4 linked regions of the Arabidopsis thaliana genome follow. The protein of the gene in region 1 binds, or shares a complex with, the protein of each later gene. Each region holds a gene or a part of one and is shown in the gene's direction. Other genes may lie near its edges.

The links.
Region 2: AT1G73875 (region 1) and AT1G27890 share a complex: the UniProt entries of both Arabidopsis thaliana proteins name them as parts of the CCR4-NOT complex.
Region 3: AT1G73875 (region 1) and AT1G27820 share a complex: the UniProt entries of both Arabidopsis thaliana proteins name them as parts of the CCR4-NOT complex.
Region 4: AT1G73875 (region 1) and AT5G10960 share a complex: the UniProt entries of both Arabidopsis thaliana proteins name them as parts of the CCR4-NOT complex.

What each region holds. Positions count from the first base shown.
Region 1 is NC_003070.9:27,779,305-27,785,470, forward strand, and holds AT1G73875 (DNAse I-like superfamily protein), read left to right. Parts: upstream 1-1,550; 5' UTR 1,551-1,807; coding exon 1,808-2,099; intron 2,100-2,237; coding exon 2,238-2,401; intron 2,402-2,474; coding exon 2,475-2,540; intron 2,541-2,613; coding exon 2,614-2,666; intron 2,667-3,007; coding exon 3,008-3,089; intron 3,090-3,314; coding exon 3,315-3,364; intron 3,365-3,483; coding exon 3,484-3,556; intron 3,557-3,781; coding exon 3,782-3,874; intron 3,875-3,959; coding exon 3,960-3,992; intron 3,993-4,113; coding exon 4,114-4,205; intron 4,206-4,437; coding exon 4,438-4,570; coding exon of another isoform or gene 4,571-4,654; exon of another isoform or gene 4,655-4,761; coding exon 4,762-4,847; intron 4,848-4,976; coding exon 4,977-5,061; intron 5,062-5,204; coding exon 5,205-5,267; 3' UTR 5,268-5,616; downstream 5,617-6,166. Other genes in the region: BBX16 (B-box type zinc finger protein with CCT domain-containing protein), read left to right, coding at 1-827, 958-1,218; UGT89B1 (UDP-glucosyl transferase 89B1), read left to right, coding at 5,839-6,166. UniProt on the Arabidopsis thaliana protein: Acts as a catalytic component of the CCR4-NOT core complex, which in the nucleus seems to be a general transcription factor, and in the cytoplasm the major mRNA deadenylase involved in mRNA turnover.
Region 2 is NC_003070.9:9,713,613-9,717,147, reverse strand, and holds AT1G27890 (Polynucleotidyl transferase, ribonuclease H-like superfamily protein), read left to right. Parts: upstream 1-1,971; 5' UTR 1,972-2,103; coding exon 2,104-3,012; downstream 3,013-3,535. Other genes in the region: AT1G27900 (RNA helicase family protein), read left to right, coding at 41-191, 541-610, 809-969, 1,102-1,277, 1,386-1,533; AT1G27880 (DEAD/DEAH box RNA helicase family protein), read right to left, coding at 3,247-3,343, 3,432-3,535. UniProt on the Arabidopsis thaliana protein: Ubiquitous transcription factor required for a diverse set of processes. It is a component of the CCR4 complex involved in the control of gene expression.
Region 3 is NC_003070.9:9,689,804-9,693,084, forward strand, and holds AT1G27820 (Polynucleotidyl transferase, ribonuclease H-like superfamily protein), read left to right. Parts: upstream 1-1,824; coding exon 1,825-2,757; downstream 2,758-3,281. UniProt on the Arabidopsis thaliana protein: Ubiquitous transcription factor required for a diverse set of processes. It is a component of the CCR4 complex involved in the control of gene expression.
Region 4 is NC_003076.8:3,462,542-3,466,872, forward strand, and holds AT5G10960 (Polynucleotidyl transferase, ribonuclease H-like superfamily protein), read left to right. Parts: upstream 1-1,556; 5' UTR 1,557-1,822; intron 1,823-1,936; 5' UTR 1,937-2,039; coding exon 2,040-2,873; 3' UTR 2,874-3,773; downstream 3,774-4,331. UniProt on the Arabidopsis thaliana protein: Ubiquitous transcription factor required for a diverse set of processes. It is a component of the CCR4 complex involved in the control of gene expression.

The sequences.
Region 1 (6,166 bases):
CTAGTTGGTACTGTCCAGCCGATGACGCTTTCCTATGCCAAAGCTGCGACGCCTCGATCCACTCGGCTAACCATTTAGCGAAACGGCACGAACGTGTCCGGTTACAATCATCTTCGCCGACGGAGACGGCAGACAAAACGACGTCGGTATGGTACGAAGGATTCAGGAGAAAGGCGAGAACGCCTAGGAGCAAGAGTTGTGCGTTTGAGAAGTTGTTGCAAATCGAGTCAAACGATCCTCTTGTTCCGGAGCTTGGTGGAGACGAAGATGATGGCTTTTTCTCGTTCTCCTCCGTAGAAGAAACCGAGGAGAGTCTGAATTGTTGCGTGCCTGTTTTCGATCCTTTCTCAGACATGCTGATTGATGATATAAACGGCTTTTGCTTAGTTCCTGATGAAGTCAATAACACTACTACTAATGGAGAATTAGGAGAAGTCGAGAAGGCAATCATGGACGATGAAGGTTTTATGGGGTTCGTGCCATTGGATATGGATCTTGAGGATCTCACTATGGACGTGGAGAGTTTACTTGAGGAAGAACAACTTTGCTTGGGATTCAAGGAACCAAACGATGTTGGAGTCATCAAAGAAGAGAATAAAGTAGGGTTTGAGATTAATTGTAAGGATTTGAAGAGGGTGAAAGATGAAGATGAAGAAGAAGAAGAAGCCAAGTGTGAAAATGGAGGATCAAAGGATAGTGATAGAGAAGCATCAAATGATAAAGATAGAAAGACAAGTTTGTTTCTGAGATTAGATTATGGAGCTGTGATTAGTGCTTGGGATAATCACGGTTCGCCGTGGAAAACCGGAATCAAACCGGAGTGCATGGTAAGTTGGTGTCTCTAGCTATATCTCTCATCTCTATGTTAGTCTTTAGTAGTGTCGAGTTCCGTTGACTTTGAGCTGATATATATTGATTATAAAAGACGAAATAACGTTATAAAGTTCACTGATCCAGTTGGGAGGGAACACGTGTCTGCCTCATGTTGTGGGTGGGTACGAGAAATTGATGTCGAGCGACGGATCGGTGACACGTCAGCAAGGGAGAGACGGAGGAGGATCGGACGGGGAGAGAGAGGCGAGGGTTTTGAGGTACAAGGAGAAGCGGAGGACGAGGTTGTTCTCAAAGAAAATAAGATATGAGGTTCGGAAACTTAACGCTGAGCAGAGACCTCGAATCAAAGGTCGTTTCGTGAAGAGGACGTCACTTTTGACGTGATTTGATTTACTTTAATCAACACTTTAAAGATCTTGTAATTAAGACCTTTGAAGTAATTGTCGTAATGTACTGAATAATGAACTGAAACTCTTGGGGCCGATGGTTGTGTAGACTTGTAGCCGGCAACTATGATTTTATAGATTGATTGATTGAGTAATTTATTGTATATATCAAATGAAAACTCTTTGTTTATCAAATGAATTGGAGAAAAAAGCCATAATGTGTGATAATAACGAACACTAAAAAATTCGTAGCGAAGACATGTTACAAAGAAAACAAGTGTAATTAAAAAAAACAAAAAAAAAACAAGAAACAAGTTCAAATTAGAACATGCCATTTCCAACAATTTACAAATGAAGCAAGAAATAAAAGCCATTAAGGCCTAGTTATGGCTGAATAGCCCATCACACAATTAAAAAAACCAACATAAAGAGCCCAACTAGGCAACTACTTAAGCCAACCGGTTTGGGTTATCAAGTACGTATTTTAATCGTTAACCAGTAAAAATCGTGAATTTCAACCGACTGAATTTGGTTAACTTCACAAGGTTGACGCATAGCTCACGCGCCGCCGACTTGCTACGATTGACATGAGCGGATACGAGCGTAAGAACACGACGGCGAACTCAATCACCATCACCAAGCGGAAGCGTAACTCGATTTCGGAACAATCGGAGAACGTATACGAGAAATCGAATAGGAAGGAGTCAATAACCTTAAAACCTCACCGTTCTTTTACGCCGGGATTCAGCCAGCGTGATTGTAAACCTGTCAGACATAGTAAGTCTTCTCTCCGCCGGCGACGGAGAACTAAGGAGAAGATCTCGAGTTCCGTTGAGCGCGAATGGGTGTTTTCCGCAAACAATTTTGAAAATCTAGCAGGTCTGTGTGCATTGCAATCACACTGAATAATGCACTTATATGCTTTTATTAGCTTCACGAAGTATCACATTCCGTACTTTGAACACATTTTTATCTTATGTGTATGAAAAACTTGATATCTCCTTTTCAATTCTTCAGATAAATTAGTATTAGTTTCGTACAATCTACTTGGTGTTGACAATGCGTCGAACCACATGGACTTGTATTACAATGTTCCGCGGAAGCACTTAGAGTGGAGTAGACGGAAACATCTCATATGCAAGGAGATTAGTCGTTACAATGCAAGCATCTTATGTCTTCAGGCAAGTTCCAGGGGATTGCCTAGATCTACACTATTTAAGTTTCATTGCATTCTCATGTCCAAATTTATTGCAGGAGGTTGACCGCTTTGATGATTTAGATGTTCTTCTTAAAAATAGAGGATTTCGAGGTGTTCACAAGGTATATATACGAGTCAAAAGCTTTATTACCTTGTATGCAATGGTGCCTTTTTCATACATTTAGTATTTTTTAGAGTCGGACTGGAGAAGCGAGTGATGGTTGTGCTATATTTTGGAAAGAGAATCTGTAAGTTCAGTTTTTTTCTATTTAGGATCATTTTTAATGTGGTGGGAAGTCTCTATATGCTGGAGTCAGGATCAGGAATCTAGCCATTTGAATTGTCTACAGGGAATATCTCTCTTTTGGAACGAGATAAATTAGATCTTCTAGTTATCTGTTTTGAATGTTTCGAAATTGTTAATGGTAGGTTCACGTTGTGTTATGTTATCAGCTTTGACCTTGGCTTCACAATATATTGTTCAAGGCTGAAAGCTTTGCTTTCTATTGTTCTCGATGTTATTTATTTTGTATTAGACTCTTACTCTACTAGTTTCATCATTTATGTTATATTTCTGCTGTGAATGCAGATTTGAACTTCTAGACCATCAACATATAGAGTTTGATAAATTTGGTATGCGAAACAATGTTGCTCAACTTTGTGTTTTAGAGGTATGCACCGTTTTAAGTTATTTCTGTATTGTCGTCTTCCCCCTCTTTTCTCCTCTGTCTTTTCTTGATTCTAGAAGCACAGAGATATGACAAGCTTAATTGTGGGCATTATTTTATATATTTTTCCCTCCTGTTGTGTTTTCAGCTTTGCAGGCTAATTGCTTAATTTTCTTAGTTTCAGCCCTTGCAATTAATTAATTTACTTGATTGTCTATTACGGAACAGATGAACTGTGAGGAGGACCCAAAGTCTAAATTACGGGTGCGATCATCAGAGTATGTCTGAGTTCTGTTCTGATTCCTTTACTGGAGTGAATATTGAACTTACTTTTAAGATCCTTACTAAATTTTATGCGCACTTCCATGTTTGGTTGATTTATGCAAACTTCTACTAGTCCTCGAAGGCTAGTGGTTGGGAATATACATGTCCTATTCAATCCTAAGCGTGGGGATATCAAGCTTGGCCAGGTATGTCTTGCTAGATCCTTACAAAATTCTGATAAAAACTGGCTTATCCATAAAATCGGTAGAGCATTTCTGTCACTACACATCCTGAGTTTAGAAATGTCAATTTTTTAGCTAGTACTATTTTATGGTATTCATCAGTACATCAATGCCTGTCAGTATTGAAACTTCATTGAAATTCTAAGTAGCTCGCTCATTTCTTGATATTTGATATGTCATAACTTATAGGTAAGACTCTTTCTGGAGAAGGCTTACAAGCTATCACAGGAATGGGGAAATATTCCTGTGGCGATTGCAGGTGATCTGAATAGCACTCCACAGGTGATCTCTACCAACTTTTGTTTTTTTTGTTCTAATACTTATTTTTTAGCTGAATTCTAAAACTTACTCTGGATTTGCTGTACAGAGTGCAATCTATGATTTCATAGCTTCAGCTGATGTGAGTTCCATTGAGGGTTCTGGACTCTTTCTTTTACATTTCGCCTGGTCATAATTTTTTTCCTTTCTTTACTGGGAAAGTTAGAATGAACTCTTTATATTCCTTTTTTAATTTTGGACAGTTGGATACACAACTTCACGATCGCAGGCAAATTTCTGGCCAGACTGAAGTGGAACCAAAGGAGAGGTCATTCAGAAACCATTATGCATTTAGGTAGCTTGTAATTCACCGGGGTCTTTGGTTTCTCTAAATAATGTATCCATATTCCTTTTCTGCCTACCTGATGAACGGATAGATTGCTTATATCTCTTCTGTTTACCTGATGAACTGATAGAGTGATAGATTACTTATATTTTTCTTTGGCCTGCGCTTAATCAACTACGTAATCCTCAGATGAAGTTTCTATCTCAATTTAGTCTAACTAAACAACTCCCTCTTTCGTCAGTGCTTCAGCATCCATCTCCGGATCACTACTCAATGAGTGGAGCCAGGAAGAATTACAGCTTGCAACTGGTGGTCAAGAAACCACTCATGTCCAACATCAACTGAAGCTTAACAGCGCATATAGTGGAGTTCCTGTAAGTGTTTTTGTTTCTTGTTCTCGACTGGTGGACGCATCGAAAAGAGTTGAAATCTGCCTTACAGGAAAACTAAGTTCTTAGGAACTGTGGCTTTCTTTTATACTAGATACTGAAAAACGTTTAGGGAAAGTAGCATGTTGTATGATGTTATATATCCTTCTAGTATGCTAAGACCTGAGATCTTGCAGGGTACATATAGAACTAGAGATCAACGCGGTGAACCATTGGCAACAACGTATCATTCCAGGTTCCTTGGAACTGTTGATTATATATGGTAAGTCTGTTGTGCTTATGAAATCCGAATCATTAATCAGAGCTTTCAATTATATATGGCTATCAATGTTGTGATATATGCACATGTAATTTTGAAATCTCAATAATTAATCTGAGGTTTTGAACCCAGGCATACCAAGGAACTCGTTCCTGTGAGGGTTCTTGAGACCTTGCCAGCAGATGTATTGAGAAGAACAGGTGGACTACCTAGTGAGGTAAGTTTTTTTTTCTAGGCTAAACTTTTTTTCTGGGGCAACCCTTTACTTTCTCGAGTTACTCTATTCATTTTTTCAAGAATGTAAAAACTGGGATTATTGGAAGAGTTGCATACAAGTCTCTGACCAATGAAAATTTGCAGAATTGGGGAAGCGACCATCTCGCTATCGCATGTGAACTCGGCTTTGTCAATGACTGGCAATGAGCCAAAATGTTAGCACCAACCACTAAACCGAGCCACCTGACTTGGCCATCCCTTGAGGTTTTTGAATGCTCATCGAGGCTTCTGAATTGGAGTTCGGAAACAGATTCAGTAAATTGTAAAACATAAACAAGTTTTGGGCTCATTCCCATACATAGATTTGCTTACTTGAAACATTTTTTTTTACCTTACCTACCCAAGACTTGCACCTACTCTTTCTGCTTTTAAAAAGTTAATACCAAAATAGCATGTTACTGGACGTGTACCTATGAGGAGCGAAGACCCATTTTGCTACTAGAAGCAAAACAATGTAAGAGACGTTGCGTAAAAAGTATCTCAATCTGTTCACTCCAAAATAAGCTCTTCTCAAGTGTCATCTGACGCTGCATTAATCAAAATACCACACGGTATTATCAAAAGTGTCGTAAGCATTCTTTCCAAGTGTTGGGAATACATTGGGTACACAAATCGGCCATTTACAGTTAACACACATCTATTTAAATCACTCTTTTCTCTTTGCTCCACCAAAACATTCCGGCATAAACAAAAAAAAGTCCCACTAGAAAAGCTCATTATGAAAGTGAACGAGGAAAACAACAAGCCGACAAAGACCCATGTCTTAATCTTCCCATTTCCGGCGCAAGGTCACATGATTCCCCTCCTCGACTTCACCCACCGCCTTGCTCTCCGCGGCGGCGCCGCCTTAAAAATAACCGTCCTAGTCACTCCAAAAAACCTTCCTTTTCTCTCTCCGCTTCTCTCCGCCGTAGTTAACATCGAACCACTTATCCTCCCTTTTCCCTCCCACCCTTCAATCCCCTCCGGCGTCGAAAACGTCCAAGACTTACCTCCTTCAGGCTTCCCTTTAATGATCCACGCGCTTGGTAATCTCCACGCGCCGC
Region 2 (3,535 bases), about 18 Mb from region 1:
GCGTCAACTCTTGTCTTTATGGTTTTTGCTTGCATGATAGTAAACCCAGTGAAAAGAAGAGGAAACATGATGAAGATTCTAATCTTCCTAATGGATCCGGATATGGTGATCACATTCAACTGCTACAGATTTTCGAATCTTGGGACCGTACTAATTATGATCCTGTATGGTGCAAAGAGAACGGCATGCAGGTAATTGTTCCATTTTCTTCCTTCCTTCCTTATCTATTCTCGAGTATTCCAAGTGAAAAGCATGGTGACATCAAAAGCCTTACTGCATTGTTACTTCAGAAGGTGGTCAGTTATATGCTGTCTCTGCAGTTAATACAATCTATATAGCATAGAAAATCCCTTCATTGTTGAGACCTGACTCCGATGGGCGTCAATGTTTGTATTTTCTGCTTCATACAGTTTTATAACCAACAATTATGGGAGTTACTGAAATTTACTACCTTTGTTTAGATAGTCTATTTCGGTACATTATTACGTGGGTTCCTTATGCCAATAAGAAAGATAACTTTTGTTGAAAAATAATTTGCAGGTGCGAGGGATGGTGTTTGTCAAAGATGTTAGAAGACAGTTATGTCAGATTATGCAGAAAATATCCAAAGGTTAGATTGTTTCATGACAAGAAGATTCCGTGAAAGAATATATAATTATTTCTCTATGGCTTTCACCCTAAATGGTTATGCCTCCAACAGAACCAGAGTTTATGTCAACATCACTCTTTTATCTTGTGAGATGTGATAGGTGGCTGTGTCATACCTAACCAACCGTCACTAAAATATTTGGTCTCCTTGACAAACTAGATCGATTGGAAGTTGGGGCAGATGGTAGGAAGAGTTCAAGCCGAGACGACTACAGGAAGTTGAGGAAAGCTCTATGCGTTGGTAATGCAAACCAAATTGCTGAGAGAATGCTTCGTCACAATGGATACCGGACTCTTAGTTTCCAGTCCCAGCTAGTCCAGGCATTACTTCTCAATCCAAGTCTCATTTATCTGTTACAGTGTTAGATTTTCTATTACATCAGTAGCTCAGATATGTAAGCATTTCCAGTTTCGTATGATCATCGACATATTGACGTTTTTGGTTGATTCTAGGTGCATCCATCATCTGTATTGAGTGCCGACAATGACGGAATGATGCCTAACTACGTAGTGTACCATGAGCTGATTTCCACCACACGTCCGTTCATGCGGAATGTTTGTGCAGTAGATATGGCATGGGTGGCTCCCATCAAAAGAAAGATCGAGAAATTAAATGTCAGAAAATTGAGGTAAAAACAAACATTACTCTTTACTAGTTCAATCCAGTCTTGTTCTAGCTTTTTCTTGTCTGGTCTTGGATTCAGTAATTGATCGGTATCATTTAATCTGCCATGTAGCGGTGGACCGGCTCCCTCTTTCAAAGTACCTGAGGAGAAGACGGAGTTGTCTAAAAACAATGCAGAAACACCTGCAGTTTCTGAAAATGTTGAGAGTCGGATTGAAGCAGCCAGAGAACGCTTTCTTGCTCGTAAAGGACAGAAATAAATTTGATGTCTCAAACATAAATACAAGATTCAACTAGCCCTATAAAGAATAGAAAAGAGAAGCTTTCTGTAGAAGATTTGTTATTAGAGACAATTTTCAAATTTTGTATGTTCTGTTTTTTTTTTTTTTGGCTCAACTTAAACTTTTCTTTATTCTCATTCGACATGAGTTTTAAATTTTTAACCCAATTTGGTATGTTCTTAGTATTATGTTTAAAAGATGATAATGTTTACACGAAAAAAGAAAAGAAAAAGGTTTTGGTATTAGTCAGACTTCGGTTTAGTGATTTAATTCGGTTTAGTATTAAAATTGTAAACCGCTTCGGAAACAGGCTTCTCTTATTTTGGGCTTTTGAGAGGAAAATGGAAATCTCGTGTCCAACAAGAATTAAATTAGGAGTGATAAAAGTCAACACGAACTTTTTGACTGGAAAAAAATGGAAACTTTCCGGCGACGTAAGAAAAAAGGAAACTCCCACTGCTATTAGTATTCGAGTCTCCGAAATCAGATAGAGAGAGAGATTAGTATTTCAGATAAACAAACTGTTTCAGTCTTCAAAATCCGAGAGAGATGGGTGAAGTTTGGAGATGGAACAAGGAAGTAGAGATGGATTCGATAAGAGATTGTTTGAAACATTTTAGTTCCATCGCTATCGACACAGAGTTTCCCGGATGCTTAAAGGAGACTCCGATGGACGCGAGTGAGGAAATTCGTTACAGAGACATGAAGTTCAATGTGGACAACACCCATCTCATCCAGTTAGGTTTCACGCTATTCGACAGAAGAGGAATCACTAAAACCTGGGAAATAAACTTGTCAGATTTCAACGAACATAAGTGCTTCAAAAACGATAAGTCCATAGCTTTTCTCAAAAGCAATGGTCTCAATCTGGACAAGATCGGAGAGGAAGGTATTGGAATCGAAGAATTCTTTAGAGACTTTTCTCAGATTCTCAAGGAGAAGGACGGAAAGATAACTTGGGTGAATTTTCAAGGCTCTTACGACAATGCTTATCTCGTTAAAGGCTTAACGGGAGGGAAACCGTTACCGGAGACTAAGGAAGAGTTTCACGAGACCGTCGAGCAGCTTTTGGGAAAGTTTGTTTTTGACGTAAAGAAAATCGCTGAATCATGCAGCGGACTAAGTAGCCGATTCGGACTACAGAGAATAGCTGATGTGTTGCAGATGAAACGTGTTGGAAAAGCTCATCACGCTGGCTCAGACAGTGAATTGACGGCTCGTGTCTTCACTAAGTTGACTTTCGATTTGCTCAATAGTAGAAAGCAGTGTGTAAGACGAGTTGATCATCAGCAATATCAACTAGAGCAGCAGCAGCTTATGATGACTAGATGTTACATCCCAATACCGATACCTATACCGAGACCGAGATCGGTGATGTTTGCTGCTCATCACCCGAACCCGTATTTTGGTGGTGGTTACTTTGGGATGCCGGTCCAAGGAAGGAACTACGTTTTGTGATGCCTGAATGTTTGTTTAACATGACTTGCTCTGCTATTATGTATAATTTCTAGTTTTATCAGATGTTTCTTTAAATACTAAAGATTAACTTTCATCTTTTCTTGTCGATCAAAACAATTCTCTCAACTCTCATATGACACAATTTCTCTTTACTGGATACTTTCAATGAATCTAGAATACAATACAAATAAATTTAAATATCCTAAGAATCTACTCAAAGCCTCTAATCTTATGTTATGTAGCTAAAGCTGCGTTCCTGTCAACAAAATTGAACAACTCTGTTTGTGCCGCTTCCATTATCACTCGGAAGTCTACGTTCATATACCTTCCCCTGCAAAGCCATATTTCAATTAAATCACATGTACCATCACCAAACAATAACTTGCATGGCTTGGTTTAGCTGATGATGATGAATATACCAGAAATGAGTCTTGGACCAGACTGAATTCGGAAAAGCTGGACTTCCAACTCCGTGCATTATTCTCGCGATGGCTCTTGGTGTGAATTTGGCTTGGCGATTACT
Region 3 (3,281 bases), about 18 Mb from region 1:
ACGTACACGTTTCCAATAAACGACTGAATTTCCCTGGATGTTGAGCAGTCTGTTGAGTGAGACTGACGTCTTCCTCAAGATTTCCTTGTACATATTCTTCTACTATTACATCGTTCCACTTGTTGTAATCGTATTCTTCGCCAATACCTTCACTACCGTCTGTGGTAGGATACAGGGTACTTCCCCCAATAGATCCATCCACACCAAGATAATCATCACACCCATCATCATCTTCGTTGCCCTCCTCCAATTCATCCGCTTCTGTTGTATCGTCTTCAACATCGGCTTGCTCCTCTGCATCCTCATTATTTTCATCAACATTTGTAGCACTATCAAACACACGGTCACTTTCAGAAACTTCACCATGAGACCTAGAGACAGTATTCCCGAACGCCTTCACTGTATTATTGAAAGAGACGAACAAGTTGAGAGAAAGATACCCACCACGAACCAAAAAAAACGTCTCGAGACCCATCTGACTGTCAATGTATACAGGAGGGCGTTTAGTATCTATCAGCACTGACATTTCACCCGGCATCCAGTAGCTAATTATGGGATTGATCTCGGTGGACTTCAAACTGAAAGCCTCTCGGAGTGTACGGACAAAGTCCGTGTACGTCATGGTTTCCTGAACGCGTACACAACGACCAAAGATGCCTTCCTCAGGTTCAAATTTCCATTCTCCTTCTTTGCATTTCCACTCACCGACCATGGTAAATACGGGAATATCCATAACCCACCTGCATCATAAATTCAGGAGACACACATTAAATGCAACTGAAAAATACTATACATATAAAAAACAAATGGAATGTCGATACTACACATTTATAAACCTAAATACCAATTATCATTTGACTATTTTAAACAAACAAATATAGATTTTGCAAATATTCTGATAAAAAAATGGAGTTCGAACACAATCAAGATCCTAATATGACATAAAAAAAACTTCTTAAAAGAACTTCATTACTTACACGAGCAATGCTCCAAACTTGGTACAAAAACAAGATCAACACTTCTTCAGCAGCAATGTACGTTCGCAATAATTCTTTGTTCCTGGGTTCATCTTCTTCATCTCAACAAATTTTTTTTTAATTATTATTAATAATTTTTTTAATATTATTTGATGTAATGATGATTTTGCATTAATTGTGACAATAGTCACATCTAAACTTTTTGGGGGCATTAAATGTTGATGTCACTTCGGAATAATCTCACTTGTAACGGAACCGAATCGCGTCAACGTGAACAAAAAATCTTCAACTGAACCGGAACAGTGTACGTAACTAAACCTGCTAAACTAAACCGTACATTTCAACAGTTGCTAAGAGAGAAACGCAAGGGCAGAAACGTCATTTTGCAGGCGAAAAGACAAATGGTGAAAACCACATTTGACTTTGACAATCCATGGAAATAAAACATGGTCAACGGATGTGGCCTGCAATTTACCCTATTTTCTATTCACAGTAAAAAATGATTATAAAGTTATTAAAATCTATTTAAACAAATATCTAGTTGCTCTATATAAAATATACATAATTATGTGCGAAAAACAATCACCGCACTAAGTTAGTTTTTTTTTTTTCTTTGGCTTTTAAGAGAAAAATGGAAATTCTCGTGTTTAACAAGAATTAGGAGAAACAAAAAGGAAATTTTGTGTTGTGCCTTAAAAAAAAAAGGAAACTGAAGTCTGTGTTACTCTACATAATCTAATCTCCTCTAACAACAATCCTAATAACCAAACGAAAATAAATTCAGGTGGCTTCTCGCTTTTCTCTTTCAGAAAAACAAACGTTTTTTTCTTTCGTAGTTTCGTTCGAGATGAAGCAAATTAGTAGCGGTGAAGTTTGGAGATGGAACAAGGAAGTAGAGATGAATTCGATAAGAGATTGTTTGAAACATTGTAGTTCCATCGCTATCGACACAGAGTTTCCCGGATGCTTAAAGGAGACTCCGATGGACGCGAGTGAGGAAATTCGTTACAGAGACATGAAGTTCAATGTGGACAACACCCATCTCATCCAGTTAGGTTTCACGCTATTCGACAGAAGAGGATTCGCTAAAACCTGGGAAATAAACTTGTCAGATTTCGACGAACATAAGTGCTTCAAAAACGATAAGTCCATTGCGTTTCTGAAAAGCAATGGTCTCAATCTGGACAAGATCAGAGAGGAAGGTATTGGAATCGATGAATTCTTTAGAGACTTTTCTCAGATTCTCACGGAGAAGGACGGAAAGATAACTTGGGTGAATTTTCAAGGCTCTTACGACAATGCTTATCTCGTTAAAGGCTTAACGGGAGGGAAACCGTTACCGGAGACTAAGGAAGAGTTTCACGAGACCGTCCAGCAGCTTTTGGGAAAGTTTGTTTTTGACGTAAAGAAAATCGCTGAATCATGCAGCGGACTAAGTAGCCAATTCGGACTACAGAGAATAGCTGATGTGTTGCAGATGAAACGTGTTGGAAAAGCTCATCACGCTGGCTCAGACAGTGAATTGACGGCTCGTGTCTTCACTAAGTTGACTTTCGATTTGCTTAATAGTAGAAAGCAGAGTGTAAGACGAGTTGATCATCAGCAATTTCAACTAGAGCAGCAACAGCATCAGCAGTTTATGATGACTAGATGTTACATCCCGATACCGATGCCGATACCGAGACCGAGACCGGTGATGTTTGCTGCTCATCACCAGAACCCGTATTTTGGTGGTGGTTACTTTAGGATGCCGGTCCAAGGAATGAACTATGTTTTGTGATCCCTGAATGTTTGTTTAACATGACTTGCTCTGCTATTATGTATAATTTCTAGTTTTATCAGATGTTTCTTTAAATACTAAAGATTAACTTTCATCTTTTCTTGTCGATCAAAACAATTCTCTTAACTCTCATATGACACAATTTCTCTTTACTGGATACTTTTAATGAATCTAAAAAGTTAGAATACAGTACAAATAAATTTAAATATCTTAGAATCTACTCAAAGCCTCTAATCTTATGTTATGTAGCTAAAGCTGCGTTCCTGTCAACAAAATTGAACAACTCTGTTTGTGCCGCTTCCATTTTCACACGGAAGTCTACGCACATGAGCTATAAACCACGCGGTATTTATTAAGTTGCCAACTTGGTCATTTACAAAAAGTCGAATAGGCTGCAACTACATTCTGCAAATTTTGTAAAGGGTGAAACTACCCAGTAAAAGAACTGTGTTCAAATAGATTTTTATTATTTTACTTTTACACTTTGACGTAGTTATCTTTAGTTACAAATTTATGGTCTTCGC
Region 4 (4,331 bases), on another chromosome or scaffold:
AAATACATGCAACTGTTTAAATAATTCTTTCTAATTTAAGTAACAAAAATTTCAATTTTAGTTTCTATTTTCGTTTTTTTCGATTTTGATTTTAAATATAGAATTCTATTTAGATTTTAGATGAGCAAGCAATTACACGGTGAGACATATTTTTGGAGGGTAACAATTAAGTAAATTTTGTTATATATATAAGAACAATTATGCAGAAACTTTCATGTTTGGTATGTGTTGGATTCCAGAAGAAATTTCCTAAAAATGGTCGGATGATGAAACCACCATCTAATATTTCGTGACTTGACATTACTTGTTTATTTTTTTTAATTTATAGAAAAAGGTACACAATTATTTGATATAAAACAAGCTAATACATTAGTTTATATAAAAACGAATTAATTATTACAAAACAATGGATTATGCTTGAGGGTAAGTGGGAAGCACGATGATGCCTTGACTCCGTAATAATAATTAGAATTAAAATTCCTTTATCCCCTTTCTTCCTAATAGTTGTCTTTTTTTGTAAAAAAAAAAAGAACTTTGGTCCTCGTTTGAGTTGGAGAATCTTTTCATGTAATAATTTTAAGAAGAAAAACTGATTACGCTGGTGAAACTTGAAAGTTTTTTTCTAAAATAAATAAATCTAAAATGATTCTATTCATGAACGAAGATGATTGTAACAAGTGATGCATGTATCTCTATCAAACGTCTTCCCATTCGTTGTATGATTGCATTAATATTGGCCACTTGTAACTTGTAAGGTAGAAATCCCAAAGTCAATTCTATTATAATTAAAATTACTTTGTTTTGTTTAACAATTATGCTAACAAATCCTTCTTAATAACAAGATAACATAAATCTAAAATCCTTTTTTTGAGTTGAAAAAAAACAAGATACCATATTTTCAATTAATTGGCAGAACTACATAGGAAACAAATCCGAAATTGAAGAGTTTACATAGAAGAAAAAAAAACAGAAATAAAAGAGTTTACCTGGAAAATAATCAAATATTATGTTCTTTCAAATTTTCGACAAAAAAAAAAATTGATATTCTTTCAATTTTGTGAGATAATCAGTACAGAAATTATTAAAATGTGATATAAAATTGCGAGACAATCCGTAGGAATATTATTACCAAATGATATAAAACTGAGTTAAAATTGTAAGAAAAAGAAGTTTTAAGGTTCTTCAAATCATCTAGCTGACTAGCTCCATAGCAAAAATAAATAATTTTGATTGTTTATTAGCACAATCTGTTTCTTAACCATATAAATTTAGACTTGTACAAAAATCAAAATGCAGTTTAGTTTATACAACTTTTCCTATAACTATAAAGTTCGATCGTCATAATAAGGTATAACAATTTAACTCTAGTACCAAATGCTATAAAATACATAAAATTTAAGAATAATGGAGGTAGGTCTACAAAGCAAAAGAAAAAAAAAAGATCATGGAAGTTACAAACGAACGGAATTTCCGTGATACACATAAATAAAAATTGGTCATCATATCACACAATTCGCATCATTAAAATAATTAGAAAACGGACAATACGGATAAAATAATTGGTAACTGGCCAAAACGTAATGATTGATGTAAGAAGACGCACGGCAAAACGTCGTCGTATAAGCTTTTCATCGTCAAACAAAACGGCTTCGTTTCAAGGCTCACACTTGTCTTTATTTATCACTTCATCTTCTCCAAAGCCATACCACTTGAAACCTCTCTCTCTGGTTGACCCGATAATTTCTCTCTCGCAGACGCACAGATCTCTCTTCGAATCTGCTAGATCTGTTCCTTTTCTTACATCTGTATTGCGAAACCTCTGGTAATTTCATACTTTCATGTCTCTCCGTTTCATTTCGATTTTCGTTTCACAGCTAGGGTTTGCTTTTTGTTACATCGATTTCTGATTTTCCTGGTGTTGTTGCCTCTTCCTCAGATCGGAAGGTTTCGTTTACAGATCTACCGATACGAGTTTCGCAGTATTTCCGAGTTCCGACGTATGCTTTGTTTTCAGATCTGGGTTTGTTGTATATCTAGAAATGGCGGAGACTTTGAAAGAAGATTCGATTATGATTCGAGAGGTTTGGGATTACAATTTGGTTGAAGAATTCGCGTTGATCCGTGAGATTGTTGACAAATTCAGCTATATCGCTATGGATACTGAGTTTCCAGGTGTGGTTTTGAAGCCTGTTGCTACTTTCAAGTACAATAACGATCTTAACTACAGGACTCTCAAGGAAAATGTCGATTTGTTGAAATTGATTCAAGTTGGGTTAACTTTTTCTGATGAGAATGGGAATCTTCCGACTTGTGGGACGGATAAGTTCTGCATCTGGCAATTCAATTTCCGTGAGTTCAACATCGGTGAGGATATCTACGCGAGTGAGTCTATTGAGCTGTTGCGTCAGTGTGGGATTGATTTCAAGAAGAACATTGAGAAAGGTATTGATGTGGTTAGGTTTGGTGAGCTTATGATGTCGTCTGGGATTGTTTTGAACGATGCTATCTCGTGGGTTACGTTCCATGGTGGATATGATTTCGGGTATTTGGTTAAGTTGTTGACTTGTAAGGAATTGCCTCTCAAGCAAGCTGATTTCTTCAAGCTTCTGTATGTGTATTTCCCTACGGTTTACGATATCAAGCACTTGATGACGTTCTGCAACGGACTGTTTGGTGGATTGAACAGACTTGCGGAGCTTATGGGAGTGGAGAGAGTTGGGATTTGTCATCAAGCTGGGTCGGATAGCTTGCTCACCTTAGGGTCGTTTAGGAAGCTCAAGGAACGTTATTTCCCGGGATCAACTGAGAAATACACTGGAGTCTTGTATGGTCTAGGTGTGGAAGATGGTACTACTACTACTGTTGCTAATTAAGAAGAAAGGAATGAAAGATACTTTGAAAATTCCAGGGAAGTGCGATTAGATATATTTCTTTAGTCTTTGTGAGTGTGAGAAGACCAAAATAGAATCGTCGTTGTGTAAATTGGCAAATTGGTGTTAGTAAGTGACTTGTTGTGTCTTTGTTGCTTTGTTTTCAGGAAAACCCCTTGTGATCAAAATTTGAGGGGTTTTTGTTTTAGCTTGAGTTTCTGAATGTATATCAATTCAGCTACCCGTTTATTTAATAAATAATCTCCAATTTTAATTTTTCTTCTCTTTTCTTTTTGTGTGTGTTTTCTTCTTACTAGTGACCAATGTAACTTGACAGTGGCTTCTTGTAGTAGCGTTTGCATGTCTCAGCTTGCAGTTACTGTGTAATTCTTTGTAACCATACCAGTTTGAAGATGCAAACTGGTAAGTTTTATGCTTAAGAGAATGTTGAATCTTCCTGTGTTCTTCTTTCCCTCTTCGTTGATACAAGTTGATAAGGAGAACAATGAACTGCTTATGCTAGAGGTTATATGTGTTACATTGTTTAAAAAACAGAGCTATGGTAATCGATTGATGTATAGATTTGTTATTTAGGTGTTTATGATGTAAGTGGTATCATGTCATGGTTAATGTGGAGGAGAATCACATATGTATGCTGTTGCATTCGCCAATCACCTCAATAGCCAATTTATTATCATATTGTCAATGAGTAGCATTCTAATGCAATCAATGTTTTGTTGGGCAAGTATTCAGACGTCATCTGAGTCGCAAGTGGTACAGAAGATTACGAGATTTGACTGATTGAGACGTCGTAGCTCATTCAATTGCCGAAGAAAAAAAAAAAAGTATCAGCCTGTTGGAAGTATTATGTCAAAATGTGGATTTGTGTATGAACTCAGTTTCCATCAAGATAATTAAATCTAAGTTTCTCAAAACCTTAAATATTTCATTACACGAACTTGTTTGATGATCGAAAACATATGATCCAATAGCAACACGACACGAGAAATAAAGTAAAAAGAAGAAAACAACAGCAATACGGCAAAAGTCCGAGTCACTATTATGTAGGTGTGGCAGAGAATCAAATCTACTTCTTATTACAGAAGAAACAGTGTACTTGCTAGTCCTGTCTTTAACGGCTTCTCTGAGTCTCTTCACGTGTGTTTGTGTGTTGGGAATTGGGATTCTGATTTGGGCCTTTGTTGTGTGGGCTTTGATCAGAGGTGGGAGAACGTTTTTACCAAGGTTGAATTGGGATTCTGATTTGGGCATGTTTGTTGTTTTAGGGTTTAGTTATTATCAAATGACCACTATTGGCTATTGCTTTGCTTTAGGTAACCAAAAAAACGTTACATATTTAAATAAAAATGTGTAACACAGTGCGGACGAAATAGCATCAAAATTATTTATATACATATCAGATATGAATTGAGTTAATTAGTGTCTAATTATTATCTTGTG